3 linked regions of the Arabidopsis thaliana genome follow. The protein of the gene in region 2 purifies or fractionates together with the protein of the main gene of each other region. This does not show direct contact. Each region holds a gene or a part of one and is shown on either strand. Other genes may lie near its edges. The genes, in order: AAC1, ATP5 and AAC3.

Region 1 (11,409 bases), on a different chromosome or scaffold from region 2:
AGTATGGATGATAGGATGATATACATCTTCTTCAACTGTCTGCTTCTCAGACAAAAAGATGTTGAAATTATTACAAAAAGGGCAAAGCTTTACAGCAAAAGTAGTTAGAAGAAAACAAAGTGAGTGCACTCCAGAAACAATCCAACTCTTTTCATTCTCATGGAGAGACCACCAAAGTTTGTTAATTTGAGAGCACAAGAAGAAAACAATATTACTTATTTCCTTATCACCAGCAGAGAAACAAGATGAATGTGGAAGTATCAACTTGCTTACCACAAAGAAAAAATAATCAGAAAAAGAAACACTTTACCAAAAGAAGAATAATTGTAGAAGAAAAAAAGAAAAAGACAGTAACAGATGATCAAGAAGATGTGATGATGATGATGATGTACACAAAAGTATCCTAAGCTGCGTATTCGGTTTCAAGCATTGGTTGTGTACGAGTCGTAGTAGCAGTTGGTGCTCTTGTTTCACCAACCTGAGTCATCCTCAGAGCTTCCCCTGTCTCTCCAGCTCTCTCCATCTCCCTCATTTTCTCTTGCTTCTTGTAATTTCGACATCTCAAAACCAGAAACAGTAAAAGCCCCAACAGTATCAATCCACCAACCACCGACCCAACAATGATCCAAGTCTTGGAATTGGAATCAGAGCTCTTCTTCTTCTTCTTACTCTCAATCCCAGGAGGAGCTAGACTCGGAGCAGAAGCCACAGATTTCACCACCACAGAGAAATGTCCCTGATGCTCAGTCTCGCATGTGTTTCCAGGCTGAATCGAATCGCTGAAACTCGCTTCACCTTTAGAATCGAATCTAACACACTTAGCACTAGACCCTTGCGGGATTCGTTCCAGATCAGAGAAATCGATTCTGATAGGATCATTAGACACCCTTAAATCAAGCTGAGGCAAATTAAGCGCAGAGAGATTCTTAGCATCGTAAGCGAGAAGACCCAAGACAGGAGCGACATAATCATAACCAGACAAAGGGTAATACAAGTGAGAGAAATTAGCTAGGTTTTGATAAACCAAAACAAGCCTTGTCACATACGGCTTGACGATAACGCCGCTGGGAATTGAGAACTCATTAAAAGGAGTGACTCCACGTTTTCTAAAGCTTCCGCTTCTGAGTCTCATAGCAGCGAGTTTGATCCCAGTCAAATTGGAAGGAACAGTAGTAGCCTCGTAGAGAATGCCGGTACGAGGACGAAGCAAGGCTCTAAAAGAGTAATCTTGAAGAAGAGCATCGAGTGAAGAAGAAGAAGAAGCATTGGGTGAAGAAGATTGAGCAGAGAGCTTTTGTAGACGAAGAGATAGAAACAGAAGCAGCAGCAGCTGGAGACAACGGAGAAACCCCATTGCTTTTTTTTGTTTCTTTCGCCTCTGGAGCAAAAAAAAATCCCCCCAGGGCGAGTCAAAGGTGGGAGACACAGGAATAAAAAGTCGCCGTCACGTCTGAGTAGAAAAAGGGTAAAAAGGGGAAATGGTGAAGAGAAGAACAAATCGAGGAATGAGGGTTAAGGAGCAATGGAGGAAGCTGAGGAGGAGGAGGAGGAGGAGGAGGAGAGAGAATGAATGGTCGCCGGTGGAAAAGAGAGAGAGAGAGAAAGGAGAGAAGGAGAGAGCCAAAAGGACAAAAAGGAGAAGAAGAGTGTTGTCGTCAGTCCCATTTGTTCACAAAAAAAAAAATGATACAGCCTGTTCATCTGATTTTTTCTCCCTTTACACATTAACAAAAATTTAATATTTTGTTTGTTTTTTTTACTTTCCTTTTCGACCAATCATATTGATACATTGCGGCATTCAATTTCGCCGTAACAGTTGTCCGTCTACCTCTTATTGTGTTATCTGTATCTCTCTCTGTATATTTCCCATATATGTATACTGTATGATTCTTTTCTACTTTTGTTTTTGTCTTTCCTTATCCTTGGCCCATTTATCTGACTATGAACCACGTCTCATCTAGTTTCAGGCTTTTTAAGCCCAATATATAGGAACTCAACTTTTTGTCTTTGGCCCATTAGAAATTGTTTTTTAGCCTTCTACCAACCTTTTGAAGGTTCCCAGTTAATATTATGATGATATTGAATAAATAAATGTGCACAACCCTGAATTTCTTACATGAGTTTTCGGTTTGGTTTTCGTGTAATTTCAGTTTGATTTAATGCAATCTCAAGGTTTAAATAATGATTTAGATAAAAAAAAGTTACTGTCAACAGAAATTAATGTAATCCCAGTTACTAAAACTTACCCATTTTTGATCAAATTCTGGTTCAAATACCGTATAAACTATTAAGTTAACTCCGGTTTGACCTTTTCTGTATGCTATTTTTTACGTTGACCAAAATAAAAAGGTATATACAATTTTTTTTACATGGCGCACACCATGACTATTACAAACGGCATGATCCAGAACATTCGTTCATAGCAGCTAAAACTAGAACATTCGTCTCCTTCCATTTTTTTGGGGGCTTCACAATGTTTACTTGAGCCCAAAGTAAAGCCCATTAAATTGGTACCACGTCATCGCTAACTTTTCCATTTCTATGTTTCTATAAAAGTCTCATATTATGTCAGTGATAGCTCTCAACCTACCATACTTCACCACATAACCACTTCTGTCTCTGCGAATCTCCATAAGACTCTTTGAGAAGCTTTCCTCTGTTTCTCCGCTGGTAAGCTTCCGTTATCTCTCTCTCTCTCGCTTCTCAGATCTGTTCCTTAAACCTTTAATTTCTCACCGACGAGTGGATCTGAATCCACAGTTATGGGTAGCTCCGGCGACGTTAACTGGAAACTTGCGGACCACCCCAAGCTTCCCAAAGGCAAAACTATCGGTTTGATTGTTCTCGATGGATGGGGTGAATCTGATCCCGATCAATACAATTGCATCCATAAAGCTCCAACTCCTGCCATGGATTCCCTTAAAGACGTATGTTTCCTTTTTTGTTTATATCCACTTCTTTCCTCGATGATTTCGCTGGATTCCGATTATGGACTTCAACGGTTCGATTTTATTCTTCACAGGGGAAGCCCGACACATGGAGGTTGATCAAAGCTCATGGTACCGCCGTTGGTCTCCCCAGCGAAGACGACATGGGAAACAGTGAAGTTGGCCACAATGCTCTTGGAGCTGGTCGAATTTACGCTCAAGGTGCTAAGCTTGTTGATCTCGCCCTTGCTTCAGGGAAAATCTATGAAGATGAAGGTTTCAAATACATCTCTCAATCTTTTGAGAAAGGCACTGTGCACCTTATTGGTCTTCTAAGCGATGGTGGAGTTCACTCTCGTTTGGATCAAGTCCAGGTACTTAATTCTCATCTGTTACACATTTCTTTTGAAACGTTGGCGTTTGTTAATTTTCTTTAATTTGGTTCTGTTTGGTGCAGTTGCTGCTTAAGGGTTTTGCAGAACGTGGTGCTAAGAGAATCCGCGTCCATATTCTTACTGATGGTCGTGATGTTTTGGATGGTTCTAGTGTCGGATTTGTTGAAACTCTTGAAGCTGACCTAGCTGCTTTACGTGCGAAAGGTGTTGATGCTCAGGTTGCATCTGGTGGAGGTCGAATGTATGTCACAATGGACCGTTATGAGGTAGGCAATGCTTGTGAGATCTTGTATGAATGTCATGCCTTGTCTAGTCTAGTTTAGAAATGAATCCAATTTTTGCTTTCCTTCCTTGCAGAATGATTGGAGTGTTGTTAAACGAGGTTGGGATGCACAAGTCCTTGGGGAAGCTCCCCACAAATTTAAAAGCGCTCTTGAAGCAGTTAAGACACTGAGGGCAGAACCTGGTGCCAATGACCAGTATTTGCCTTCGTTTGTTATTGTTGATGATAATGGAAAGGCTGTGGGTCCAATTGTTGATGGTGACGCAGTTGTTACATTCAATTTCCGTGCTGATCGAATGGTCATGCATGCAAAGGCCCTCGAATACAAAGATTTCGACAAGTTTGATCGCGTACGTGTCCCTGATATACGTTATGCAGGAATGCTCCAATATGATGGAGAGCTTAAGCTTCCTAGCCGCTATCTTGTTTCTCCACCATTGATTGACAGAACTTCTGGTGAATATCTGGCACACAATGGCGTTCGTACTTTTGCTTGCAGGTTAACTTTTAGAATCTCTCAAATCTTTAGTTATTGTCTTTGCCATTTTCTTCTATTGCTGCTTCCTGGTTTATTTATTTGCTGGAATTGGATTCATAATTGAAACTGTGATAAGAGTAATCCAGTCTTCTTTACTTGCTCGGTAGAGGTCTAATTTATGATTGGGGGTTGTTTGTTGATTAAAACTAGTGAAATCTCCTAGCTCACTTTTTCTTGATGAGATTATACCGTTGATGGTTAGTTACATATAATGAATGAATTCTCAGCTATTAACCTATTAAAATTTTATTTCACTGAAACAGTGAGACTGTGAAGTTTGGCCATGTAACCTTCTTCTGGAATGGCAACCGCTCTGGATATTTCAATGAAAAGTTAGAAGAGTACGTTGAGATTCCAAGTGATAGTGGAATATCATTCAATGTCCAGCCAAAGATGAAAGCACTGGAAATTGCCGAGAAAGCAAGGGATGCTATCCTTAGTGGCAAGTTTGACCAGGTAAGGTGTATTCTCTTATCACATTGTATCAACCCATTAAAACAATTGGCTTCTGAGTTTGGTGCCAATGGATTTTCAGGTGCGTGTAAACCTGCCAAATGGAGATATGGTGGGGCATACTGGTGATATTGAAGCAACTGTTGTTGCCTGTGAAGCTGCTGATCGTGCTGTGAGGGTATGATTTCAATAAATTTGTGACATGGGAATGTTAGAAACCGTTCTTAGTAGCAATGACTCACTTAGTTTTGGTGTCCTGGTTTGCAGACAATCCTTGATGCCATAGAACAGGTCGGAGGGATATACGTTGTGACTGCAGATCACGGAAATGCTGAGGACATGGTTAAAAGGGACAAATCCGGCAAGCCTGCTCTCGATAAGGAAGGGAACCTTCAGATTCTTACCTCTCACACCCTTAAACCAGTAAGTTCTAGCACTACTAAAACAGTTCGTGTTATGACCATTGCAACTGAGCATAGATTAAGCATGAGGGGTTGTAATACCAGAAGTGGTTGGTGTATCTTATATGAAATTTGGACATGATGTGTGTGTGCAGGTGCCAATTGCCATAGGAGGTCCTGGCTTGTCAGCAGGAGTTAGGTTTAGACAGGATATCGAGACACCTGGGCTTGCAAATGTAGCTGCGACAGTGATGAACCTCCATGGATTTGTGGCCCCGAGTGACTATGAGACAAGTCTGATCGAAGTCGTCGAGAAGTGATGATTCTTGTTGTTGTAGTTCTTTTTAAAAGTCCCACCTGAGCCTCTATAGACTCTGATTCTCTTTTAAGTTACTATTTTCACCGCTCTCTAATAAGGCTCGTGATTTTTTGGGAGCCATACTGTATACTCGCCGGCCCTCTCACGATGTTGTTCAATTCACAGACTAAATTTGATTTATCTATTTCGCCAAAACATAACTTCATTAAAAAATGTTCTCCAAATAACTAAACGAATTAAATAAAAGAAACCTTTCATGTAAAGTTAAAGGTATGAGACTTTAAGGGCAGTTGCTGAACATTCGTAACACATGGGAGAACAATAGAGAAAGTTGAAAAGAAACGTAGCATATAGAAAAATTATCTTTGTAACCAAGTTGATTTAGAAAAATATCACTATTTGTGAAAAATACTAGATCAGTTTATTATTACTTTTTTTTTTTTTGTATATTCACAAATATCATATTCATATAGAAGAAAATAAACAAAGTTGTAAAAATCTGGCATTTAAAATAAAATTGAACACTTCAATTTATTTCCTTTCATAATAATAATTTTGGCATAAGATATTTGCAAATTGATCTGGTTCGGTATGGTCGACAAAATAATTTTCCACGCTACCCTTCCAGCCGTCCATTCACTATTTGCCCTCAACGTTACCAAATAACGGTCCAGATTCCTAGGGCAAGATCTAACGGTTAGCAAGTAAAGTCGTACCATCAGAAAGAATAACAATTCTTTCACAAAGTAAACATAACCAACGGTTAACAAGTTCTTAGGGTTAAATCAGTAAGATCCAACGGATATTAAATTGCAAGGCCCAAATAGTTTTTTTGCAGCAGATAATAACTCGTCCCCACTGGCGAGTGACGACCGAGACTCTGTGACCCTATTTTTCGAGACGATAAAAGGGCAAACAATCGCTCTTTTCAAAGCTCGCCTCTTCACCACAGAGAAAACTTCGTCTCTCTTCTCTGCTTCGCCCTCTCATTTCCTGTGAGATAAAGGCGGAGTCTCTCTCCAGTTATTTTGCTCATCCATCGATTCTTAGGTATGACTCGTTTCTCTCAGATCTGTGATTCTTTATAATCTCGTCGTTCTTCAAATCATTGTTATATTCGTTTCTTCGATCTGTGTTTTTTAGATCTGTAAGGTAAATGAGACGTTTCGATCTGTAGATCTGATTGTTATATTGATAGATTATGTTATCTGCTTTGCTTAAAGTCCGATCGGAATGTTTTGTGCTCATTGTCGAATATCTGATGTATCGGTTTCATAGATCTGCTTCTTTTTGTGCGTTTCGTTGATCTGATAATCTTCTAGTGATCAAAATCGTTTGGATCTGTTGACTTTAGTTTAAAATGTATCCGATCTGATGTCGAGGCTTCATTATTGGAAGTTGTTATTGTTGTAATCCTGATTTAAGTTGCTGTTCTTAAATTTATATGATCTTTGCGTTATAATATGACATGGTAGATCTTGGTTCATGGTTCACTGTTTTCCAATAAACTTGGTTTGTTTGGTTGGATAGCGTTCTGTGATACGACCATGTCTTGTGTTGGATAAGAATTCTCTGAATTTCCTTGGCTGGTTTGTAGTATGTTATTCACGTCTGGTTTCTCATCAATGATTATGTGATTTTGCAGAGTTCAAAATGGTTGATCAAGTTCAGCACCCCACTATTGCGCAGAAAGCTGCCGGGCAGTTCATGCGTTCAAGTGTTTCCAAGGACGTTCAAGTGGGTTACCAGAGGCCTTCTATGTATCAAAGACATGCAACCTACGGAAACTACTCCAATGCTGCATTTCAATTTCCTCCGACATCCCGGATGTTGGCAACAACTGCTTCTCCCGTGTTTGTCCAAACCCCAGGAGAGAAGGGGTTCACTAACTTTGCCCTTGACTTTCTGATGGGTGGTGTTTCTGCTGCCGTCTCCAAGACTGCTGCTGCTCCTATTGAACGTGTTAAGCTTTTGATCCAGAACCAGGATGAGATGATTAAAGCTGGCAGGCTTTCTGAACCCTACAAGGGTATTGGTGACTGTTTCGGCAGGACGATTAAGGATGAAGGTTTTGGTTCTCTATGGAGAGGAAACACTGCCAATGTTATCCGTTATTTCCCCACTCAGGTTTGTTGAGTTTCATACTCTTTCTTGTTATAGCTTTTGAAAAAACATAATTTTCTGCTAACCTTCTTTTTTGTCTATTGTAGGCCTTGAACTTTGCCTTCAAAGATTACTTCAAAAGACTTTTCAACTTTAAGAAGGACAGAGATGGTTACTGGAAGTGGTTTGCTGGTAACTTGGCATCTGGAGGAGCAGCTGGTGCCTCTTCCCTTCTGTTTGTGTACTCCCTTGACTATGCCCGTACCCGTCTAGCTAATGATGCCAAGGCTGCAAAGAAAGGAGGTGGTGGAAGACAGTTTGATGGTCTTGTTGATGTCTACAGAAAGACACTTAAGACTGATGGTATTGCTGGTCTGTACCGTGGATTCAACATCTCATGTGTTGGTATCATTGTCTACCGTGGTCTGTACTTTGGACTCTATGACTCTGTGAAGCCTGTTCTCCTCACTGGTGACTTACAGGTATGTCTTGTTGTCTTTCTCTCTGATCTGTGTGCTCTCTTGCCTATCATTGGTTGATATTGACATGTTGTGGTCGTTCTCTTTTGGTTATTTCAGGACAGTTTCTTCGCTAGTTTCGCTCTTGGATGGGTTATTACCAATGGTGCGGGTCTTGCATCCTACCCCATTGACACTGTCCGCAGAAGAATGATGATGACGTCTGGTGAAGCTGTCAAGTACAAGAGTTCTTTGGACGCCTTCAAGCAGATCCTCAAGAATGAAGGAGCCAAGTCACTCTTCAAGGGAGCTGGTGCCAACATTCTGCGTGCTGTTGCAGGTGCTGGTGTGCTTTCCGGTTACGACAAATTGCAGCTGATTGTCTTCGGTAAGAAGTACGGATCAGGAGGTGCCTAAGCATTGCTTCTTCCTCCTTTTTTCGATTTTAATTGCGGTTTTAAGGCCCGCAATAAACTGAGATGTTGATGAAATTTTTTTTGCTTAAGACTTAGGGAGGCATGTGCCCTAAACCAAATTTTATATCGTTCTGACGCCAACTTTTTTTACTTATGGAATAATTCATGTTTGAGAGAGTTTGTTAGACTCTTCGATTTTAAAGAATTTTGGATTTATGAAATAAATTCTTCTTTTTTATCTGATTACCATGTTATTTATAGTCTTAATCAACTTGCAATATTGATTTCGTTATCTTAGGTAGTATCTACAATCTAGTTCAGGCTATAAGTTAAAAAAATGCACGCATCCAAACCTGTGTAACTTAGAAGTTTTGTACGAAGTAGTGAACTTAAACTGTAGCAACAATGATGAAAGAAATGTTGCAAACTCATTGTTGAGAATATCACTTATATATTGCATGTCAATATTTCACTCTTCATATCCCTCATATTGCACCTATGTCTATATCAGTAGTAATGAGAGAGCGAATGCATAGAGCTCGGTTAACATGCATAAAACATGGAAAATGAGAGTGAAAAATCTACTATGCAAATCGCCCTTTAGCATCACCCATCTCTGAATTATTTTTGTGGAACAGAGTCATAGAGTTGCACATCAGTTTGGAATTATGAACATTGATAGAAATCAAGAAAACTTCCAATAAGAAGACACCAAACAGATATTTGAGTTAACAAAAGGTGTTTCTGAAAGCTTTGAAATAAATTAAAATAGTGATGTATTAGTGATTAAGGATCTAGAGATATTTAAAAGGATCTGTCATTTTGCCATTTGTCTGCTGCTATTGGAAGGATTTTGATCCGACAAGGATTTCACATCTCAAATCACCATGTCAATTGTTTGGTGAAACAAAATAGAGCAAAAGTAGTGGTGACAAAGTAGGGTTCATAGGTGGTTGGTTAGTATAAAAGAGAGATTAGATAGAAACTGAGAGTGGAGGTTGTAATAGAGACCTCAATTAGTAAAGTGAAAGTGTGCCCCCAAGAGACTATAATTGAGTCTTTATGGAGCTCCGTGCCACACACAACCCCCTCTCGGCTTTTCTCACGTGCTCTGAATCATACATCACCAAAAAAAGCATCTCTTCTTTTTTTTTTTGGAGTCAAGATTACGAAATTGAAAGTGCATTATAAAGTCTATTAGAGAGTTTTTAAAAAATCCGAGCAAGAAAAGGAAAGTGTTCAAAGCCTATATGTTTCTGAAAGGCTCCTCCTCAAATTCATACTCAAGGTCACAATGGGTATTATATCGGACAATGCTCAATCTCACTCGTCTTCCTCTGCCCCTGCTCCTTCCATCTTCTCCAGCTCCTTTGCCACTCGGTCTGTTCTCTGTCTCTCTTTCGTTCAAACATGTCAAAGTTTGTTCCTTTTATGCAATCACGTATAGATTTCTTACTTATCCGATGCATAAAGGATTCGTTTTTACCATATATAAATTGCAGCATATTCTCAGATGTTGCGGGAGACATCACAATTGTTGTTGATGGAGAGTCCTTTTTACTCCACAAGGTTAGTGATCTGTTTTTTTTTTTTGCCCACACAAAGTGTTCGACGGAATTTCAATTTACGATGTTTGAATTATTTTGCAGTTTCCTTTAGTGGCTCGGTGTGGAAAGATTAGGAAAATGGTGGCAGAGATGAAAGAATCATCTTCAAATCTCTCGCATACAGAGCTCCGAGACTTTCCAGGTGGGTCTAAGACGTTTGAACTCGCCATGAAGTTCTGCTACGGCATCAACTTCGAGATCACTATCTCCAACGTGGTTGCTATCCGTTGCGCAGCTGGTTATCTTGAGATGACAGAGGACTTCAAAGAAGAGAATTTGATTGCGCGGACCGAGACTTACCTCGAGCAAGTCGCGTTTCGCAGTCTTGAGAAGTCTGTGGAAGTCCTCTGTTCCTGTGAGACGCTTTATCCTCAAGACATTGCTGAAACTGCTCACATTCCTGATAGATGTGTGGAGGCTATCGCTGTGAATGCTTGCAGAGAACAGTTAGTGTTAGGGCTGTCACGGCTGAACCGAGGCACCGAGTCAGGGGAACTCAAGCGAGGAGATAGTCCTGAGTGGTGGATTGAAGACCTCTCTGCTCTGAGGATTGACTATTACGCACGAGTTGTCTCTGCGATGGCTAGAACAGGCTTGCGGTCAGAGAGTATCATAACGTCTTTGATGCATTACGCTCAAGAATCGTTGAAAGGTATTCGAAACTGCAAGGAGCGAACCAAGCTCGATTCGGGTACTTTTGAGAATGAACAGAGGAACGTCCTTGAAGCCATTGTTAGTCTTTTCCCAAATGACAATGTCCCTCTGAGTTTCCTCTTTGGAATGTTGAGGGTCGGGATTACCATAAACGTAGCCATCTCTTGCAGGCTCGAGCTCGAGCGGAGAATCGCTCAGCAGCTGGAAACAGTCTCCCTCGATGATCTACTCATACCTGTTGTCCGAGACGGAGATTCCATGTACGATGTAGACACTGTCCATAGAATACTCGTCTGCTTTCTGAAGAAAATAGAGGAGGAAGAAGAATATGATGAAGATTGCTGTTACGAGAACGAGACCGAGAATCTTACTGGTTCTATGTGCCACAGTTCATTGCTGAAAGTGGGTCGGATCATGGATGCATACTTGGCAGAGATTGCACCAGACCCGTGTCTGAGTCTTCACAAGTTCATGGCTTTGATAGAGATATTGCCTGATTACGCACGTGTCATGGATGATGGGCTATACAGAGCCATTGATATGTTTCTAAAGGTAAAGTTGTTCTTCTATCCCTTAATATGGAGGCTGTGTCTCTGTTTTTGCAACATTTTGTATTGATAGAGTGTCAATGTTCTTTGTGTCTCTGGTTAGGGGCATCCGTCGCTGAACGAACAAGAATGTAAGAGTCTCTGCAAATTCATAGACACTCAGAAACTTTCACAAGAAGCATGCAACCATGTGGCTCAGAACGATCGGCTGCCGATGCAGATGGTGGTCCGAGTCCTCTACTCAGAACAGCTGCGTATGAAGAATGTAATGTCCGGAGAGTCAGGGGAAGGGCTATTGCTGTCTTCT
Region 2 (10,637 bases):
AATGCACGCTTGCTAGGGTCACCAGGTGGGTAACGCTCATGGTTATGGTCATCATAGACAATCTTTGAGTTAGGCGTTTTGACAGCTTCGACTGTGGCTGGGACTTCTGAACCAAAACCTATCTCATTTCCTTGAGCAAGGACTTGAGAAGAGAAGCCTGAAAATAGCATGAAACATTAATATTTCACATCAAAGGCAAACTTTATACTTGGTCAAGTGTTCTACAAGAATAAGAATAAGCCACAGGACTACCACAATCAAGATGTGACCATTGATGTATAATCTTCTAAGGAAAAACAAAAGTACATAAAACGGATTCCATGAAGTATGAGATCCATCCAAACAATTCAAACCATCGTATCAAACTCGGGGAGTGGAAACTTAAATACGATAATCTCCATAAAAAAAACAAGAGAACAAATTCAATGATCAACATGGAAACAGAAGAACAAAAAATTGGAATCTAGAAGCCAATGTGAATCACACTATGGATAACGCATTCCAATGATTTACAAGCAAGGAGCTTTAGTCATCAACCAAAGAATTACATCTAAACAGGTCAATCCATAATCCATCAATAAACTCAAATGTTCATTTCCTTCTGGACGAAAGAATGAATCAGAGAAGCCAAGTATACCAAATTCATCCAAACAAATCAATAATAACAAATTCAGTGAAACCTTAAATACTAAAACCAACGTAATAAACCAAGAGAAAAAAATATATTGATCAGATGCTGTATATTACAGAAACGCTTAAAACACAACAAAATTTCCAATGCTAAGAACAAACAAAGCTCTTTGGTTAAGAAAACATAAATTTCAGAATGCAAGTTCCTCAGCATGCCTTTAAACAGCTATAAATCCTACAAACATAGTATACAGTTAAAACATCCATGTCCCTAACAATGAAGAACTCAAAAGGATTGATACACAAGATCAAATTTCAAAAACCAAGAAGCCAGTGGTGAATCATACTATGATTAACGCACCGAAAAGAGGAAACTTTCCTAGTAAAACAAAGGATTATCTCAGAACTGAACAATCCACACGAAAGAAGTAATCATCAAATGCAATACAAATCCAGCAAGGAGAAGAATGTAGCCAAATGGTACATCAAGCTCATGGAATTCAAATCAGATGACACGTTTGTTCCCACGGATCATTGCAGATACAATACTAGAAATCTCAATCATTCCCGTGAATCATACAACCAAAAAAAGAAGACCTTTTCAAAAATCAATCAATCAAATAAAACTGCAAAGAACCACCGAAAATGAAAAATCAATGTAGAGAGAGAGGGAAAGGGTTATAAATCGGCAAACCTCTGATAAGGCTACGGTGGTAAGATGAGAGATCTGCAGAGGGGAGGGATCTGGGAGCTGAAGAGGAGTCGCCGCCACCATCGGAAAGGGTATGGTCACGGGAGACGACGAAGGAGGTCGCAGTCGAAGATCTCTGCGAGACAGAGAAAAGCCTCCTCCCTGCTACACGCAGCATCTCTCAGCTCAAATGTGAATCTAGGGTTTCGCTCTAGCTGAACAGAGAAATCCTCAGGTTTGGGACGGCCGATGCAAAACAAAACATAAGAGACTACTTACTAGTAAGTCCCTTAAAAATTGTCTTTGAGAAAAGGTCAATTTGTTTTGTTTTTTTTGGTTTTTGCGTATTACTTGATATTTTTTTACTTCAGGATTTTGATGGCATGGTTTTTTTTCTAATTTTAATTAATAAAATCTTTTGGTTTTACGATATAATTTTTTTGTGTGTGTGTATTTGTAAGATAAATTATTTTATTTGTATAAAAATCGTAATTTTTAATAATAATAATAGGGGGTCTATACTTGGTAAAGGATATATTTTGTTGTTGTAATGTTTAAACAAGATTTCCAACAAAAAGACTGTTTTACATCTGTGTGAACTTTTCAATACTAGAAGAAAGAGCTAGAAGGACATCATCAAAGAAGTAGTCATCGATGAAAACAATCTGAACAAGAAAATTAGGCTAAGATCCACAACCAGAATATGACATCTTTCATCAAAGTAGTAGTCTCGAGGTTCACAATTGGATTTCTCACTATGGAAGAGAAGGTTTATGGCTTAGTTGAGAATTGAAGGTCTTCGAAATGTCGTCTCCAGTAAGAACACGAAAGTTTTATAACACACCTTGAACCTTACCAAGTTTTTGTCTCAATTGTGATAATGGCTACAGACTTTAAGGAAAGGAAACTCTCTTACAAACGATATGTTACAAAATTACAAACATAAGAAAAATAGGGATGATACTATTCAAAACTCTTTTCAAATAATAAACAGAGACTATGAAGTATGAACAATGTATTTTCACCAGATGAGACAGATACTAAGTCATACAATGACAAGTTTGTATTATTCAGCAAAACAAGCCAATTTTTGCTGAGCCCAAAGTGTGAGGAAAGCGAACTTGCACGCTAAAATGCCGGAAAATATAAAAACAAAAACAGATTTAAGATCATCCAGACCATGACACTCGGACTGTTGTGCTTTATTCATTAACCAATGAGTAATTTATTCTCTTCCAAGAAGCTGTAGGTCGGTACTTCCAGGTTGTATGGTGCAGGACCTTTCCTAATTCTTCCAGATATATCGTAATGTGATCCGTGACACGGACAAAACCAACCACCATAATCACCAGCATTAGGCAAGGGGATGCACCCCAAATGAGTGCATACTCCAACCACGATCAACCATTCTGGATTCTTGACTCTAACCGAGTCTTCTTGTGGGTCCCTCAGGGATCCAACATCCACACTATTGGCCAGCTTGATGTCATCTTCTGTTCTTCGCCTGATGAAGACGGGCTTTCCACGCCACTTGACTGTCACGGTAGTTCCTGGTTCTATGCTCCCTAGGTCAACCTCGAGGGATGCAAGGGCAAGGACATCTTTACTTGCAGACATGCTCACAATAAGCTTCAGAACAAGCAGGCGGAGAACAGAGGCATAAACAAACCTTCCACCCGACAAGACAAAATAGGCGAATGCCCGCTTGCTAGGGTCACCAGGTGGGTAACGCTCATGGTTATGGTCGTCATAGACAATCTTTGAGTTAGGTGTTTTGACAGCTTCGACTGTGGCTGGGACTTCCGAACCAAAACCTATCTCATTTCCCTGAGTAATGACTTGAGAAGCAAAACCTGAAAATAGCATGAAACATTAATATTTCACATCAAGGGCAAACTTTATACTTGGTCAAGTGTTCAACAACACCAAGTATTAAGCAAAAATATTTTCAAGAGATAACACAGAAGAAAGGAATAACACTAGCAAACATTTAACATTAATGCATAGAATAACATAAGATTATAAAAACGGATTCCAAGAGATAACAGAAGGTGTCATCCAAACAATTTTCTACCATGATATCAAATTCAGTGAAAACTAAACTAATCTATCTAACGCAAGATCCAAGGAAGGAACTTCAATGATCATAAATGCTTAAAACATAAGAAAACTCCTAAGATAAGATTGCAAACATAGCCCTTTTGGTTAAAGATATGGAATTCCAGATTCGTTTACTGATGCAAGTATCTTATATGATGTGCCCAAAGACGATAAAACATCCATTTCCATAATAATGAATAAACTACATGTCAAAATCGATTATCTCATCAAAAAAGGATTATCTCAAAGCTGGTCAATTCATATCCGATCAATCACTATTCCAGCAAGGAGAAGAATGAGACGAAATGGTACATCAAGCTCTAATACACATCATAAGAATTCAAAACAGATGACTTAATTCCCATAGATCATCTCGCAGATACGAAACTAGGAATCTCAATCATTTCCGGACTTATACAAGCCCAAAAGAGGTGACTTTTAAAAATTTATGAATCATTCAATGGATAACACCAGAAATGAAAATCAATCGAGAGACAGAAAGAGTTGTAGATCGGCAGACCTCTTATAACGCTCCGGTGGTAAGAATTGAAAGATGAGAGATCTGCAGAGGGGACAGATCTAGAAGCGGAAGAGGAGTTGCCTCCATCGGAAAGGGTATGGTCACGGGAAAGGACGAAGGAGGTCGCCGTCGATGATCTCTGCGAAACAGAAAAAAGCCTCCTTCCTGCTACTCGCAGCATCTCTGCTCAAATGGGTTAAGACCGATTCTAGGGTTTCGCTCAAAGCAAGAACACACAATCGTAAGGTTAGAGATGGCCGATGCAAACAAAAAGATTAGTCCTTTACCAAAAAAATGTTTTTTTTTCTTCTTTGCGGATATTCCTTTAATAGTCTTCGAGAAATCGTCAATTTGGTTTTTTTACTATTAATACTGAAGAGAACAATGACGGTGTTCTAACATGATAATTATGTAGCTTCGTGGCATCTTAATGTTCATTCGTGAGTATGAATAAGCTACTTGGGCATAGTTTGTAGATTTATTTACCAAATTAGCCCAACGATTCAAATCTAAACAAAAACAATCTCATTGAAATTTGATGTCTCGAAAAGCTTTATTTCGAAGCAAACAACAATATGTAAAAAGCAAATGACAAAATTCAAAGGGAGAGAAGTGGCCAGCTATTATATTGTTTCCCAGGAGGGTCCATATTTATTTGTCAATTGGTGGCATTCATCACAAGCATGTTTTCTTGGGGGAAATTTCTCTCAAGATTTTCAGAGGTTGTTGAAGTCAACAGGTTCACGGAGGAGCCTCTCCATCTGTTGTGCCCTTGTCCTGATTGACATGTCCAACACCTTTTGTTGGAACTCTACGATTAGTCCACCGTAGATACTTGGATCAATCTACAAACACACATTACCACCATTGACATAGATGCTTATATCCATTTTATGGGTTACTAGAAAATCACAAGCCTTTGATGCATATCTGATTACATACCTTTTGTTCCACAGTGATTTTCTTCCCTGCTCCAATGATCTCCTGAAGCGTCTCAGTCAGTTCTTTCTCCTCAGCAGGGGGAAGCGGCTGTCCAAACCATATGATTAAATCCACAATACTGAGTTTATGGTTATTTAAGAGATAACAAGTATTGAGACTAAAGCTTACAATGACTGTGGTAACCAAAACTTTGACATCTCCCCTATGTGCGTTTGTCAGCTGCATAAATTTCTTCACAATGGCATCTAGGTTCTTCAGCTTTCCATTCTCAGCTAACAAAGCTGTTACAGAAAGCAAACAACTTTTAATATCAGCACAACAAGGTCAATCAAAATCATAAAAACAAGACAGTTTCAAACTTGAATTACATACAGAGGAAGTTCTTAGTGGGTTCGGCAAACTTTGCTTGATCACAAGCATCCCTAATAGCAGCCAATCTTGTCCCTCTAGGAACAGAGGGATCCTTTGTAAACTGAGCAAAAATAGGAGCTGTCTTCATTGCCTCAATCATCTCAGAAAGATCCGTCTCAATCTTTTCCAAGGAATTCATTTTCACAGCTGCAATGTATAGCCATGAAGCAAAGTTCCCATTTTCACCAACTAAAGCAATAGGCACCTGAAACAACAACAAGTATAAATCTAGATACACTTCCATTACATATTATACAAAATCCAGCTATCCGCGGTTCATCATTTATGCCAATCAAACAATTCAAGCCATTGTCGCGATTCTCGCATCTACAAAATAATACGATGGTGATAAAAGGGTGTACCTTAACATTAGCGGTTGTTTGAGCAGAAGCAGTTGCATAAGTTCTCAACTGCGATAGAAATATACAAACTTTAAAGATTGATTGATAGCATTCTCAGGAAAATAACAGAGATAGAGTTAAAAGACTTCCAAAACATCTAAAGCCGAGCAATGTAAGCGAGAAAACACGATAATCCCCATTCTATACTGTTATCAATCCAATTAGGCGATTGGATCGACTGATCTCGTAAGAATCGACTCCGAACAAAAAATTGGACTGAAAAGATTCGATTTTTAAGAATGCGAATTACCGCTGGGAAAAGCGACTTGGATCTAACGGAGGAGACAGAATCTGTTACGGCGATGGTCTTGAAGAAGGAGATCCCTGATCTGAAACGATTAGCCATTTTTGTTGCAGATAGATTTTGATTGGAACCCTAGAAATGTGCAAAAGTCGCTCAGCTGCTTTGTCGAGAGCAAAGAGATGAAACTGGTCAGAGGAAGAAAATAACTTAGTGCATTGGGCTTCACTGGGCTCATACTTATTTTATTGGGCTTATTACTACCTGTAGATAGTGGCAAATTTATGATAGTTAATTTGTTTTGCTCAGGTTTTTAGTGTTTTACCAAGTTTCAAATGTTATAGTGAGGTTATGTAATACACAACTTAACTCGTTTTTTTGTTGTAAACAAGATCTTGTAGATTATTATTTTGTATTATTGTTGATATATATATATATATATATATTCAAATTTAACTGTATATATGTGTATATGAAAAATATCATTTTTAATGTGTATTTGAACTCTACAATAATGTATTTTTCTCTATTTCAAAATAATTGATGTTCTAAAAAAATACTATTTTTCTTACGAATTAAGATGTTGTTCTCAATTTTCTATCCTACTATATTATTTGGGAAGTACTTTTTAAATGTAACCTTAATTTTTGTAAGTAATTACATAGGTATGCCATTAAAAATAAAATTTTAAAGAATAAATTAATTTATCTCTTTAAGGATTAAAAAGTTAAATACTAATTTAATTAATTAAATTTAATTTAAAAACGGAATATATTATTAATTTCCAAAAATAATAACCAATCAAAATCAACATATAAGATTTGATATCTAAATTTTAATTAATTTAATTTAATTAGAAAAATAAAATGCATTATTAATTTCCAAAAATAATAACCAATCAAAATCAACATATAAGATTTGATATCTAAATTTTAATTAATTTAATTTAATTAGAAAAATAAAATGCATTATTAATTTCCAAAAAAATAACCAATTAAAATCAACAAATTAGATTTGATATCTAAATTATCATATTAATTTTTTATTAATTATTATAGTTCACTTCTCATCTTTATATGATTCTATTTTTGCCGAAAAATAATATCATCATTATAAAAAAAATAATTAGAGTTTTTTCGCATATGTCATAATTTGAATTTTTAAAAACGAATATAAACTGTTCAATACATGAAAAATATTATAACGGATGAAAAATAGATTTAAGAAAACTTTCTACTGAGTAACGGGTCATAATTTGAAATATTTATATTCAATTTCATACATATTATATTGAAAATTTATAATCTTATATACTACAATAATTAATAACATATTAGATGTGATTCAATTTTTAATACAAGCTGGAAAATCCTAGAATTAACGGGTTTAGATCGATATTAATACAAGATGGTATACTACATGTCAAACTCTTAAATTAACAATCAAACTACAAGTGTATAATCTTAAACACTAAACAATATAGATAATATCAACAAAACATATACAACTCACAGTTTACTATACATTTAAAATCAAATAAAATAATATCATATATTTTTAAATCATCTTTACAATAAAAGTTTTTAGTTTAACTAAAATATAAGCCTACTTGCGGTATACTGCAGGTTAAAATCTAGATTATAGGGCTTATTGGATCTAAAGACGGGTCATCAAAGATTTCCTAAACTGAAGCAAAATATACTGAATATTCAAATATCTATCTATTATCAAATTATAAACAAATAAGTTCGTAAACAATTTAATATTTTATTTATGAAATCAATTAAATCTTAATCACATAAAAATTAGCACAAAAAAAAATATTCAATAATTAAAAAAAACAAATCTCTGTGTTATATAAGTTTTGATACTATATTCGAATAAAGTGTAATATACATTTTCAATTTGTATTCTTTAACTAATTTAAACTAACAAATATATTTGTTAATCTTATACCTATCAAAACTGACAATCGTTTCTTATCTTTATAGTATTTTTGCAAAACTTTTTTGGTAAATGTATTTTTGCAAGACTTTTTCAATTAAATCTTAATCACATAAAAATTAGCACAAAAAAAAATATTCAACAATTAAAAAAAACAAATCTCTGTGTTATATAAGTTTTGATACTATATTCGAATAAAGTGTAATATACATTTTCAATTTGTATTCTTTAACTAATTTAAACTAACAAATATATTTGTTAATCTTATACCTATCAAAACTCACAATCGTTTCTTATCTCTATAGTATTTTTGCAAGACTTTTTTGGTAGATTTGGATAAAAGTGCGTTCGGCTCATATGGTACATTCCCCTATTAAATAAATATGGTGCACTCCTATGTTATTAACTAAAATGTTTAGATTATAATTCAGAGTCACATCATTAATAAAAATAATATTAACAAATAAATGGCTTTTTGGCAAGACGGATTTAGAGGGACGGGTTTTTGAATCAACATTAATAAAAAAATAAAATATAATTAATCCACCGTTTCAATACGGATTAAATTTTTAATTTATTATTTTCTAAGACCACTAATATTAAATATATCAAATCATCCTAATTTAGAAAAGATTATATAAAACAAAAAATGTTATGTGGTATGTATAATGTTACTATATATAAAATTAAACTATAAAATATAAATGTATTAGAAAATGATACAATTTGCAAAACTTTTATATATAAAAAATAATTCTTAAATTTTAAAAATTACTACTTCAAAAAAAAATCACAGGACGGGTAAAGAAATTACAGAACGAGTTTTATTTTAGAATTGAGTTATATGGCGGATGTATTTGAATTAATATTTATAAAATTTTAAAATATTATTAATATGCTGTTTTAATAGGGGTTAAAACTTCAGTTTTTTAACAATTGTCTCATGAATTCGTGGTATAGCGTTAGTTAATAACAATTATAAATTATAAAATATAAATATTTTATAAAATAAAATTTGCAAGTTTTAATATATATTACTTTTAAAAAATAAATCGTCCCGCGGTATACCGCGGGTTAAAATCTAGTGCAACAATTTAAAAAAACAAAACTGATTTGTAACATTTCTTCATAATGTCATTCGATGAATAAATAATTTTTTAGAATTTTTTTTATGTTTTAATATAAAAGATTTTTTTAAAAACACAATTTGTGTAGTTTATTAATCTATGTGTCAAAAACTTAAACATCAATTAAAGAGAAACATATGGAACACTTGTTTTTTTTTTGGAACTTCGAAGTGAAACATATGGAACACTTGTTTTATTTCGGATCGTCTATATATTTTTTTATTTCTTTGATTTTGTCAGTACACTTTGAATAATTTATTTTTGGATTTACATGAATATTATTTTTTTTTTAAAGAAGAAGAATAATATAGAAGGATGCAATTGGATTTGTACTGAAGAGGTCTTGAGAGCGATACAACTTAGAGAATATGTTTTTTTCCATCTGAACAATATGCAATGCGTTGTCATTGTCGTTTGACCAATTTTTAAAAATAGTTTCATTATCATATATAGTACCTAAATTATCATCTCTTGAAAACAAGTCTTCAAATGTGAAATATGACTTTTATAGCAGCGTCGAAAGATACAAAATTAGTTGTTAATTACGGAAACATGTTGGTCTTGATTTTGTTAATACGTTATTCACTTCTTGCAAAAAAAAAGCAAGTTATTTTTGATTTTGTACTATGTTAAAGTGCTTAACACTGATCACTGATGTAGCTATTTTTGGACGGTCACTATTTCAACTTAACATTGTGTAATGCATTTATGAGTTTGGGATCTGTCTGAGGATATTTATGAAGAACTTCCACATGGAGAAACATTTGTTTACTAAATGTTGATATGACTATTCTTGAAACTTAACTTTTACACAAAAGTTAAAAACTAAACAAAATTCAACAAACAATTTGTGGTTAGCTGCAAGATCTACCAGAAGTTAGGGGATTAAGGAGGATGAGAGGGGTAAAAATATAATTTCGAGTGGGCAATGAAGTGGCACGTTCACCTGTCGGCACAGTGGAGAAGAGAACAACAAACCTTACTTCTCTCTTGTTCACATTCATAATTTGATGAACAGTCTTCTTCTCTGATGCAGAAACCCTCTCCCTGAATCTTGATTCTCTCACAATCAAGATTTGAAGCAAACGTTTTGAGAAAAATCTTTTGACACCATCAAGTAAGTTTTTATCTTTCTTATGTTTTTTGTGGTGTACCTGCATTGTGCCTAGTTTTGGTACTTGAATCATCTATTTTGGAATCTAGAGTATTGATCTGGAGTATGATTAGTCAAATCTAGGATTTTTAAGGAAAATGGTACTGAGAGATTGTATTATTTGCACATATCAGGTGTTCAGTGGTAGTGATTTGATATGATTTGGTCATTGTTTGAATGAAAGTTGGATTATTGTTCAGATTTGGTTGGCGGATTGTGGGAGGAATTCCAGAGCAATATAGCAGGTGATGGTTGTACAACAATGGCTAAGAAGAAGGGCTTGTTCACTGTATTGAAAAGGATTTTTATTTCAGAAGTTAATTCAGAAAAGGTGAAGACAAAGATGTTAATCTCATTCTAATGCTGATTGTTGTTTCTGCATCTTGTTTGATTCTTCTTGTGTACTTCTGCAGAAAGAGAAGAGAAGAAAATGGACATTTTGGAAGCTTAGGATTAAGAAAAGATTACCTTCCATTA
Region 3 (10,844 bases), on a different chromosome or scaffold from region 2:
AGTTGGTGATTTGTCTAATCAAGGTTTCGTGACTTACTAGACGTTTTTATGTTTCTGCGATTAAAAATTGAAGACTAAGTGATAGTGGATCAGTGGTTATATATCAAAATATTAGTCAAAAGTTATAATTTAATAACTCACAACTTAGCTGTAAATCTTATAGATTTGTGTAAAACCAGAGTTTTACAATCGTTACAAGAACAAGAACAACATAACTTCTGATTAGTGATGTTTCGCACCAACGCCTCTGTACGTTGTATTGTTTTCTCTGTTTTCATCTTTTACCAAATGATCAAATATCATCTTTTACAACATCCACATATTTTGACATCTTTTCTATAGACTTTCTGAAAAGCTTTTACTGTCTTCTGTGGATGGGCAGATTATTGTGTTCTTATCTCCGAGTCAAGCCTTGTCAATTTGGACGACTAAAAAGACCAAGTTGATTCATAAAAAAGTAATTATGTAATGAAATTGTGGTGGTAGGTACAAGTCGTCATTGATTGAAAAAAAAAAAATGAAGGACAAAGTTATTCTATCATTAATTATGGAAAGCCGAACCTCACTGTTTGGCAGTAAAAAGTGGACTTTTAATTTTGTGTTTTTTTTAATACTACTATTATCTGAAAGAAACACATGGATAACCAAAACTACTATTAGTAGAAAATTAATCGTATTTTTTAATCAGACAGCAACGGAGACATTGGTAAAAAGGGAAGTGAAGAGGAATCCATGAGGAGAAGAAAAACAAGAAAATGCTCTGTTTTTTCCATCCTATGTTATTAAGATAACTTAAAGATTAAAATGTGAATTTCGAGGAACAAGTGCGATAAACTTTTGTTAAAAACAAAAACAATAGAACATCAACGTTCAAAATATGAATCGAAATTTGTGACGTTCAAAGGTTTGCATGTGTGACATTTCTTATTAAACGACAATATCTATACAACAACTTAGAAAACTACGATAAAACGTAAGTGAACAAATACTAGAAAATTATAAGATCATCTTTCCTAGAATGCATATGCACCCCCACATGGACGTATTGAACACTCACATCAACACATGTTGTGATTCAGATTCTGTTACATTCGGGTCTGGGTTTTGTGCGCAAGGTTTACATCTTATTTTCCAAATTATATCTAATTCCGGGCAATCACACCGTCCCCCTATCTTCCCATTCACCTTTTTCTTCGTCAATACCTGCAACTATACATATAGTAGTAACTCGGTTATCCCACCCGGTTAATCACGGTTAAACAACCGGTTTTAGTATAGATGAAAAAGAGAGAGAGAGAGAGTGAAGAATCAATTACAGTAATTGGAGACGTGAGCTTGAGGACGTTATTGAAGCGGCTCACTCCTCTACAATACTGTGGAGGGGGTTGCATAGATAGTCCTTTAATAAAGCTCTCGAACATGTCCCTGCAATGCTCTTCTTCACTCATGGAAACCGCGGACGTGATCAGTGTCATAAGCAATAGAGCACGATGCATCTTAAAATTAGTATGTAACTCACTGATATTGACGAGTACTAGCCAAGGTAATTAAGATGATCCGTGTTCATCACAAATCTATATATGTATTTAGTAGTTGATTAGTTTATATGATGTTTAGTTTAAAGAAACATGTAACTCTCGTGCTTCCTTCGTTAAGTAAACATGCAAATTGTATAGGTTAATCTGTTAGACCTAATTAGTCTTTATAATTTTTTCCCAGTTTAAATATTTGAACCAGCTGGACATAATTAACGCTTGTTTGAAAAAAGAAAAAAAATAAAGACATTATTAGAGTGTGGGCAATAGGTGGAGAGACCCATATCTTATATATACCACTTAAGATCCTACTCAACTTCCGATGTGGGATATTGTCCCTAATAGACATTACGTTAGCTAGGAAAATGATTTTCTAAAATTCTTATCTGAATGGTATATTTTTAAAAAATGAGATAATTTGGATATTATGCATGTCTAGGTCACGGGTGATTCATATATATGTATAATTATTCCAGCTAAATTGGTTAAGAGCTGGATTTGGATATTTTAAAGTACAATTGCGAATTATTTTAAGTAATTGTGAATCATTTTAAAATAAAAAATTGCGAAATTATCTCGGATAATTCTCGGATTTGTACCCCCATTCCCCTGAAACAACTCGCACTATGCACCCAAAAACAATTTCAATTTACTTTCACATCAATCAATAAAGGGTTTTCCTGTGCTACTCGCTGCAGCTGTTATATAGGTGGTGTTTCCGTGTTGGTAACTTGGTATATGGAAATTATGTAACATTGTATTATAGCTGATCGATTGAAATAATCGTGGCTTTGAAAGTGTTGGATCTACTCTGCTGAAGTCACTGGATGTATTTAATTAGGTTGTTGCCATTTACTCATCTGTTAAAAAACAAAATTTTAAACCACGTTCCTCTTTGTAAAAAGCTAAAAGCCTCGTTATGTTATCCGTTTGGCTATGTAATTATAAGTGTAGAAATGTCACGAGAGCCAGAAGTTTTGTCCTTAAGTTTTGATTCTTAATGGACAATTTTGGCATTTTTTGCTTCCCGTAATAATGGTTATTGTAAAAACTAAGAAATAGAAGAGAAGCCATATCTGATGAATATACATATATATAATCGCTTACAGAAAATTCTTCGTACTTTTGTAACACTAGTCACTATTACATCTACAATAAACTCGATTATATATCATTTGTAACTATATAGAACTGTTACAAGGCTTCCCTTCCCAATATTCATAGATATATATCCTGGTAGTTAATTTAATTTCTCAACGTCGGGATTCTTGGTGTTTCTGAACCTGTAATGACAAAATTATACCAGTTCATTAGTTCCTTTATGCACAAGGAAAAATGTAATATATAACATTTTCTTCTAGGAAAAGATTTTTAAAAAACTATGGAGAGAAGAATGAAAATAACTGAGAACAGTCCATATCAACGGAGATGGGAAAGCTGAGAGTAAGAGAACAACGGAGAGGAAGGTTATTAATAGCGGCGGGAAGAAAAGGAAGATGATTTGCATTTCCCATTATCTCAATGCACAGACACACTCTCTCTGTTTCTCCACTATCCTGCCTATTCCTCGATCCCTGCGTAGTTAATATAATTATAGATGGTGAAAGAAGAAACCGAAATAGAAGAATCGAGAATTAAGTCTAGTAACTGGAGACGTAAACTTGACGACGTTGTTCAAGTGGGTCACGCCTCTGCAGCAATCTGGAGAAGGTTGTTGAAATATTCCCTCGACGAAGCCCATGCAGGGCATGAAACTCACGAACACGTCTCTGCAATGTTCCAGCGGATTATTGTCCTGGGAAACGGCGGTCTTCATCAGGACCAAGAACGCTACTACCAATATGGCATGTATCTTCATTGAACTCAGTACACTAGCTAGCGAAGGTGATATATATGATTCGTGTACGAAGAGAAATCTATATCTATATATTATATATATAGTAATCAATTCGTTTCTAAGGTGGAGTTTATTATGCATGGCTTAGTTTAATGAACACATGTAGTTCTCATGTTTCCTTCTTACTCGGATGAATTCCAGCTGAGTTCTCTTTTAGTTTTCTTGAATCTTTTGAAATAATCTACCTACACATATTAAGGTTATTGCATGTAATTCGAGTTTATTTTATATCGCATGACATGTATGATGTGTCTTGTTATCTAATACATGAGCCGATATCATTGCCTATATTCTGGTACTCTCAATACGTATCGGTTTGTTTCATTGTTTGTAGAACATTTCTCTAACTAGTTTTGGATCACTAAATTCGAACCACATCACCTTCCTTGCATCTGTAAAGTTCTGTCCGGCTGAAGAAGAAAAAAAAGATTCAACTTTCTTTCTTGCTTCTTAAGTAACATCCAATTTTTTAAGACCTAGTTAACAAGCCTCTATTATATTTTTCCGGCAAACCAAAAAAGTCTTGATTATTGTTCTATTTTTCTATATTTAATTTTCAGGTAGATGAGACATATATCACATAATGATAAAGAGGTCTCTCACTTTCATTAGGTATGAATTTTATCTTCCTAGGAAAATAAATTTTGGGTCCATTTAGAAGAAGTCAAGACTCGGGTCCCTTAAAATTGGGCCCAGAAAGAAACGGGTCAAAGGAGTCCAGTAGCATTTTCGTAATTGTACCTTCTCTTCTGCTCAGTTTCGTCTTTTAGTTTAGGACCAGAAGTCGAGAATCATGTAGAAACCTACTCTTCTCGCAATTTTCCACAGCTCTCTCTCTCTCTCTCGTTAACGCTTCGGCGAAAAATCCACGGTAAGCTCTCGACTCCAGAAGTTCTAGCTTTATCATTAATGCTTCTCTCCTAGCTCTCTCTGTTTTTTTGTTCTGCTTCTCGTGAATTCTGTTTTCTCGACGCCACTCGTTGCTTGATCTTTTAGAAACAGAGGATTTAATTGAGCTGCTGCAACTAGGTTTTAATTTGTGCTAATTAGGTCGCATTATAGTTGACAGATTGAAATGGTGTCTTTAACGAAGCTAACTAGGATCGTATGAAATGTGTTGATGATGTCTTCTCTGTTTTTGTTCCAGTTTTGGTTATGATCATTCTTTTTTAAGCATGCAAATATAGAAATTTTCGAGAAAGCAAGATTTTGTGGTGTTTAATTTGTATTTTTGTTTTGTTTTGTTTTGTTTTGTTTTTCAGAGTCAGCTTTTACTGATTTGTACAAAAAATGGATGGATCAAAGCATCCATCAGTCTTTCAGAAGCTACATGGACAATCTTACTTGATCAATAGACTTTCTCCGAGTGTGCAAGCTCGTGGTTACTGTGTCTCTGGTGCTTATGTCAATGGAGGTTTGCAGAGTCTATTGCAGCCAACTAGCCATGGCGTTGGCTCGTCTCTTATACCTCATGGTTCATTTCCTGTATTAGCTCACGCTCCTAGTGAGAAAACTGGTACTGGTTTCTTGATCGATTTCCTTATGGGAGGAGTCTCAGCTGCTGTTTCGAAGACGGCAGCCGCGCCTATAGAGCGTGTGAAGCTCTTGATTCAGAATCAAGATGAAATGATCAAAGCTGGGCGTCTCTCTGAGCCATATAAAGGAATCAGTGATTGTTTTGCTCGAACAGTCAAAGACGAAGGAATGCTTGCTCTTTGGAGAGGAAACACTGCCAATGTTATCAGATACTTCCCCACTCAGGTTTGTTTTCTCTTCTTTGACGTGGTATTTGTATAGACGTCGAGATGGGTATGCTAAGCAAATAGTTTTGTTTTGCAGGCTTTAAACTTTGCGTTCAAAGATTACTTCAAGAGGCTGTTTAACTTCAAGAAAGAAAAAGATGGCTACTGGAAGTGGTTTGCAGGGAACCTGGCGTCTGGTGGTGCAGCTGGTGCATCATCTCTGCTTTTTGTGTACTCTTTGGATTACGCTCGTACCCGTTTAGCCAATGATGCGAAGGCGGCCAAGAAAGGTGGTCAGCGGCAGTTTAATGGCATGGTCGACGTGTACAAGAAGACTATAGCCTCTGATGGCATTGTCGGGCTTTACCGTGGTTTCAACATCTCATGCGTTGGAATTGTCGTGTACCGGGGGCTTTACTTTGGATTGTATGATTCCTTGAAGCCTGTGGTTCTAGTTGATGGTCTCCAGGTAAAAAACAAAGAAAACTCCTCACTTCAACATATTGAGTCCTCTGTTACTGTTTACTCATTGCTATAATCTGTACAGGATAGCTTCCTTGCTAGTTTCTTACTGGGATGGGGAATCACCATTGGAGCTGGATTGGCGTCTTACCCAATTGACACGGTTCGCAGAAGAATGATGATGACGTCAGGTGAAGCAGTGAAGTACAAGAGCTCTCTTCAGGCCTTCTCTCAGATCGTCAAGAACGAAGGGGCCAAGTCACTCTTCAAGGGTGCAGGTGCCAACATCCTTCGTGCGGTTGCAGGCGCTGGTGTACTGGCCGGCTATGACAAGCTCCAGCTCATTGTGTTGGGTAAGAAGTATGGCTCTGGTGGTGGCTAAACGATGAGGATGATGAAAGAATAGCCCTTGAGGTCTGTGAATGAATAAAGCAGTGTGTCCGTTCGTATAAATGTTGCTTTTAGAATATAGAGTGTCTCTGTCAAGTTGTGGCCCTTTGTCTTAGTTCTATACTTCTATGACTTTTGTTGACAAAAGAATAAATACAAAGAAAACCAATACCATGTTTATGTTTTTTGTAGTTAAAACAGTTTTAGTGAATATTATCAGTTAAAAAGTCAACATAAGCTGAGAGATCAAAAGAACTTTAAATGTATGGTTATGCGAAAGTTTGTATAATTCAGATTCGGTTTCCTTGGGTTGTAAGCGAATGAGTGATCTAAGTCCAACACTAAGATTTGGTCTTCAAATGTGTCAGTCTCAAATCCCACTTCAAACCACTCCAGACAGCTACAAGTAAGGAGTTAAGTCCTTTTCCTTGATCTTATACCACTACCTGATTCATCCTCTGTAATCGTTGCACCAAAGACCAAACTTATTGTCTTTATATATAAATCCACCACACTTAAGACAAAGGATCCATAACTTGTCTTTGAATGGCTCTCTCTATAACATTTCCTGTCCTTATCTCAGTTCTTCTTTATCATTTCTCTTTAGTATCAACAGCAAAACATAGCCTTCACCACCACACAAGTCACTCCACAAACCCTAAACAGCATCTTCAGCAAGCGTACCGTGCACTTAAAGCATGGAAGAAGGTAATCTATTCTGATCCAAAGAACTTAACTGCAGATTGGGTCGGTCCCTCAGTCTGCAGCTACACTGGCATCTTCTGTGCCCCATCCCCTTCCAATCCAAACACTCTAGTTGTTGCCGGAATCGATCTCAATCATGGTGACATTGCTGGTTTCCTGCCTGAAGCCATTGGCCTTCTCTCTGACCTCGCTCTCATCCATCTCAATAGCAATCGCTTCTGTGGCATACTTCCTCGTTCGTTTGCCAATCTATCCTTACTCTATGAACTTGACCTCAGCAACAACCGCTTTGTAGGTCCTTTTCCGGATGTCGTCCTTGCACTCCCTTCTCTAAAGTACCTTGACCTTCGTTACAATGAGTTTGAAGGCCCCTTGCCTCCAAAACTCTTCAGCAATCCCCTCGATGCCATTTTTGTGAACAACAACCGGTTAACAAGCCTCATCCCCCGAGATTTCACAGGAACAACCGCCTCTGTTGTCGTCTTTGCCAACAATGATTTTAGCGGTTGTCTGCCTCCAACCATAGCCCGCTTTGCAGATACCTTAGAAGAGCTTCTCCTAATCAACTCAAGCTTATCTGGGTGTCTACCCCCCGAAGTCGGGTATCTCTACAAGCTAAGAGTCCTGGACATGAGCTACAACAGTTTAGTTGGTCCTGTACCTTACAGTCTCGCTGGGCTAGGCCATCTCGAGCAGCTAAATCTGGAACACAACATGTTCACTGGCACTGTCCCTCTTGGAGTCTGCGTTTTGCCCAGCTTGCTGAACGTTACCGTCTCTTACAACTATTTCAGTGAAGAAGAAGGTATCTGCAGGAACCTGACTTCCAGAGGAATAGCCATCGATGATCGCTACAACTGTCTGCCTGACAAACCGCTTCAGCGTCCCCAAAAAGTCTGTGATGCTGTACTTGAGCACCCCATAGACTGCTATGACCACGAATGCTCACCCATGGCTCCACTGGTTGCTCCATCTACCGCAGGACCTTCCATTGCTCCTGGTCCAGCTGACACATAAGGATTCACTCTTATGCGCACAATGACAAGATGCTATGTATGCAAAGAAAATGAAAGAACTAGAAATGTGTGAAAGATTTAGTTGTGGGGTGAAGAATATGCACTAAGATTATAACGTAATACAGTTTATACAGAACACAATTGTCTATCTGCGGTATCTAGCCGCAGTTACAGATTCCACCTTTGCTCTGTTTTCATCTAAAAATCTTCTAAACCTCTGCAAGGACCTGAAATTAAAGAACCAGCCCCACCTGTTTCAGGATCAAATTTTGCAGCAGTTAACTTCGCGATTTTGTGAACAATCACACTTCAGGAATGTTTGACAAATAAGTAATACATCCCACAGTCAGACAAAAAAAGGAACCGACAAACCTGAAACACTCAAATAAAAGCATGATTCCTCATAGGCCAACTATTTACAGAGATTTGGGTTTTATCATTTTGAATTCTCATTTATGAAATCATATTTCTGTTAGCAACAAATTTTCTTCAGATAGAACCAAGACCCTATCTATAGACCTAATAGGCAAAGAAACTTCGAAGGAAAAAAAGTAAAATAAAAAATTTAGATTTGAGTTGTTACCCGCAATAATCTGAGTGAAGTCTGTACATCCTAACAAACCGAAAACATCCTCTATGCTGGAGGAAGAGACCGCCGACAAGTTGGACACTCCATTTTTATATCCATCCATCTCTGTAAGCATCCCGAGTGAAAGAAATGTTCACATGGAGTTACCTGTTTTCAGAACAACCACACTCATGATTCTGTCTATTGGGGAAAAAATATAGTTAAGAGAAGCAGGAAAAAACTGCAGTACCATGCAATCACTGGTATGCTGTCTGAGATCAATAGCGGTCATGCAGATAACACAATCAGTGGTGCGGCTTACATCCCGATTAAATCTTCGGTGGTAGTTGTATTTCTCTGGTAGCATCTGCGTGTAGGCAAAACGATGAAGAAAGAGATTAGTGGTAGTCAAAAACAACTTAGCAATGGGAACGAGACTTGAAATATTCAAGCCAAACTGAAACCGAACTGAAAACTTAGTGTTCACTTTATTAGATATATTGTTTCATGTGTAGTTTACATGAATACAAAACAAACTAACCTGACGGGGAACAAAGCAGCGTGAACCAAAATAATGCTGAAGAAGAAGAATGACGGCTTGCAACCCCATGAATGTGCACAAGCATATACACCAAACCTTGTTGGGCTCTACACGCATGAAGTTGTGTGGGCATCCAAAAACATATAACGGTATAGCTAACCGTGTAGCTGTCATGCCCAAGATGTAATATGGGTGCAGAGGCTTTCTTGAATCCCGGACAACATTGGCGACTATTTGTGGTATCCAAAATGAGTACATGAGAAGGAGAATCGGCTGCATGTAGTTGTGGAACTGGTACATTATCAAAATGCCTCCAAGAAGGATCCCATCTGTTTAATATTGTGAAAATGATGAAACATCAGCATTAGCATCTGAACTTGCGTCAAAGTTTCAGCTAAATGAAAAACAGAAGTCACATAAATGGTGAGAATATCTAGCACTCAAGATTCAGTGCAGGTTATTGTCCTTAGAATCAAAATAAAACCTACATAAACTAGTGAATAACTTGGAAATTTTGAGAAGATAAACAAAACCATTTTTCCATACCATAGTGACAGGATATACTCGTATAGTTTCCAAAAATGCAATTTTCTCATTGGGATATTACATTTTTCTCTGTGGTTTGGAAGACAATTCAAACCATTTTCTTGGTATTGGTTTCAAGGAAAATAGCATTGAAAAGAGGGTAAGAGAATCAAGCAGTTATATATGACCCATATCATAAACATGCAGTAAGAAAAGAGTTTGAAGCTTTAATCGATAAAAAAAACACCAAAGAAGTAAGTACTCACAGAAACGACTGTACAGAAAGGACAGTTCTCTCCTCATTGTTTCCCAACCCTCTCCGCTATTGGAAGGACGGGTTGCTTTCCATATAGCCAGAAGATATCTCATCTCAAAAATCGAAAAGACTACGAACTTGAAGAACGCAGCGGTTGCAAATGCATTAAATAGAGATTCTGCATGAGAAGTAGTAAGCTTTAGGTTTAACACTGATTGATAATTGAGAAAGAAAAGAACATCACAATGTCAGGTAGCATAAGGGTCAGTGAGACAGATGAGGGACCGAATGGTCCATGAAAAACCAACAAAGAATATCATCAAAATGAAGGGACACTACAGAGTAAAATAAAAGCTAAACATGTTACATGAAAAAGAAGTAATAAGTTAATTAAAAAGCATAAGAAGATGGCATCCTTTAACGAGTACAATTATAACCAAAATACGTACCGACTAATATACCGGCTGTTAGATGTAAGAGGCACAAATAAGCATCCATGATCGCTTGTTGCCCAATCATTACAATGGATACCTTAGCAGCACCCTTGTATACAATAACTTGCGGAAGTTAGTATTTTTATTCGTTCTGTACAAGAATAACAATATCAGACCATCTGGTTTAAAACAGTATCTTACAGATTGTGTGTTACCGTGCTCCATTTGCCGGATCAACAGAAGAACCTGGAGGAAAGAGACCTAAATGCAATAGAGAGTTAAGGAACACGTAAAATTGCACAAGAACTCGGCATTCTATTATGAAAGAGTAAACGACTTTTCAGTAAAGGATACAAAAGTGACCATCAGTGTATAGTTCACAGCTTTGTTATAGTAGACTTCAACATTTACAGAAGTTGCGTTCAGTAACAAAGGGGAAAAACAATCTCCGTCATCGCCTACCCCAGGACTTTCCATCAATCCTTCCATGTGATAATAATTTTTGTCTCCATCTACCAAAATATGGAAAAGTCTTTCAATTTACAATTAAATGTGACAAAGGAGACAAAGAATACACCAAGATCACTTCGATGTTTAAAGTTAGAATGCATACTATTTTCACTAGAAGCCACACGGGATACTTGAGCTGCTATTTCGATATTACAGTGCTTCTCCATCTCATTTACTGGAGCTGAAGTACAAGAGAATTGAAGATCAGTGTTGCTGAAAAGTAAACCATACTGGAGAAAATAAGATACTGCTTACAAAGTTTC

The links.
Region 1: the proteins of ATP5 (region 2) and AAC1 fractionate together in Arabidopsis thaliana (co-fractionation; one large-scale study listed by BioGRID). This does not show direct contact.
Region 3: the proteins of ATP5 (region 2) and AAC3 fractionate together in Arabidopsis thaliana (co-fractionation; one large-scale study listed by BioGRID). This does not show direct contact.

Annotation. Positions count from the first base shown.
Region 1 is NC_003074.8:2,602,591-2,613,999, reverse strand, and holds AAC1 (ADP/ATP carrier 1), read left to right. Parts: upstream 1-6,104; 5' UTR 6,105-6,366; intron 6,367-6,426; exon of another isoform or gene 6,427-6,468; intron 6,469-6,961; 5' UTR 6,962-6,969; coding exon 6,970-7,443; intron 7,444-7,526; coding exon 7,527-7,901; intron 7,902-7,997; coding exon 7,998-8,294; 3' UTR 8,295-8,565; downstream 8,566-11,409. Other genes in the region: AT3G08600 (transmembrane protein, putative (DUF1191)), read right to left, coding at 404-1,354; iPGAM2 (Phosphoglycerate mutase, 2,3-bisphosphoglycerate-independent), read left to right, coding at 2,763-2,927, 3,023-3,301, 3,385-3,588, 3,680-4,104, 4,407-4,599, 4,679-4,774, 4,864-5,019, 5,153-5,317; AT3G08570 (Phototropic-responsive NPH3 family protein), read left to right, coding at 9,588-9,673, 9,796-9,862, 9,943-11,106, 11,206-11,409. UniProt on the Arabidopsis thaliana protein: ADP:ATP antiporter that mediates import of ADP into the mitochondrial matrix for ATP synthesis, and export of ATP out to fuel the cell.
Region 2 is NC_003076.8:4,305,901-4,316,537, forward strand, and holds ATP5 (delta subunit of Mt ATP synthase), read right to left. Parts: upstream 6,167-10,637; 5' UTR 6,042-6,166; coding exon 5,946-6,041; intron 5,705-5,945; coding exon 5,657-5,704; intron 5,500-5,656; coding exon 5,256-5,499; intron 5,165-5,255; coding exon 5,052-5,164; intron 4,971-5,051; coding exon 4,884-4,970; intron 4,787-4,883; coding exon 4,658-4,786; 3' UTR 4,354-4,657; downstream 1-4,353. Other genes in the region: AT5G13430 (Ubiquinol-cytochrome C reductase iron-sulfur subunit), read right to left, coding at 1-157, 1,325-1,499; AT5G13440 (Ubiquinol-cytochrome C reductase iron-sulfur subunit), read right to left, coding at 2,531-3,174, 3,942-4,122; IQD11 (IQ-domain 11), read left to right, coding at 10,423-10,491, 10,574-10,637. UniProt on the Arabidopsis thaliana protein: Mitochondrial membrane ATP synthase (F(1)F(0) ATP synthase or Complex V) produces ATP from ADP in the presence of a proton gradient across the membrane which is generated by electron transport complexes of the respiratory chain.
Region 3 is NC_003075.7:14,036,660-14,047,503, reverse strand, and holds AAC3 (ADP/ATP carrier 3), read left to right. Parts: upstream 1-4,156; 5' UTR 4,157-4,303; intron 4,304-4,319; exon of another isoform or gene 4,320-4,461; intron 4,462-4,694; 5' UTR 4,695-4,722; coding exon 4,723-5,193; intron 5,194-5,271; coding exon 5,272-5,643; intron 5,644-5,721; coding exon 5,722-6,018; 3' UTR 6,019-6,216; downstream 6,217-10,844. Other genes in the region: AT4G28397 (non-specific lipid-transfer-like protein), read right to left, coding at 1,054-1,209, 1,317-1,496; A7 (Bifunctional inhibitor/lipid-transfer protein/seed storage 2S albumin superfamily protein), read right to left, coding at 2,776-2,818, 2,940-3,109, 3,184-3,513; AT4G28380 (Leucine-rich repeat (LRR) family protein), read left to right, coding at 6,573-7,748; AT4G28370 (RING/U-box superfamily protein), read right to left, coding at 8,382-8,483, 8,566-8,682, 8,857-9,185, 9,648-9,815, 10,087-10,180, 10,273-10,332, 10,426-10,583, 10,685-10,762 and 1 more.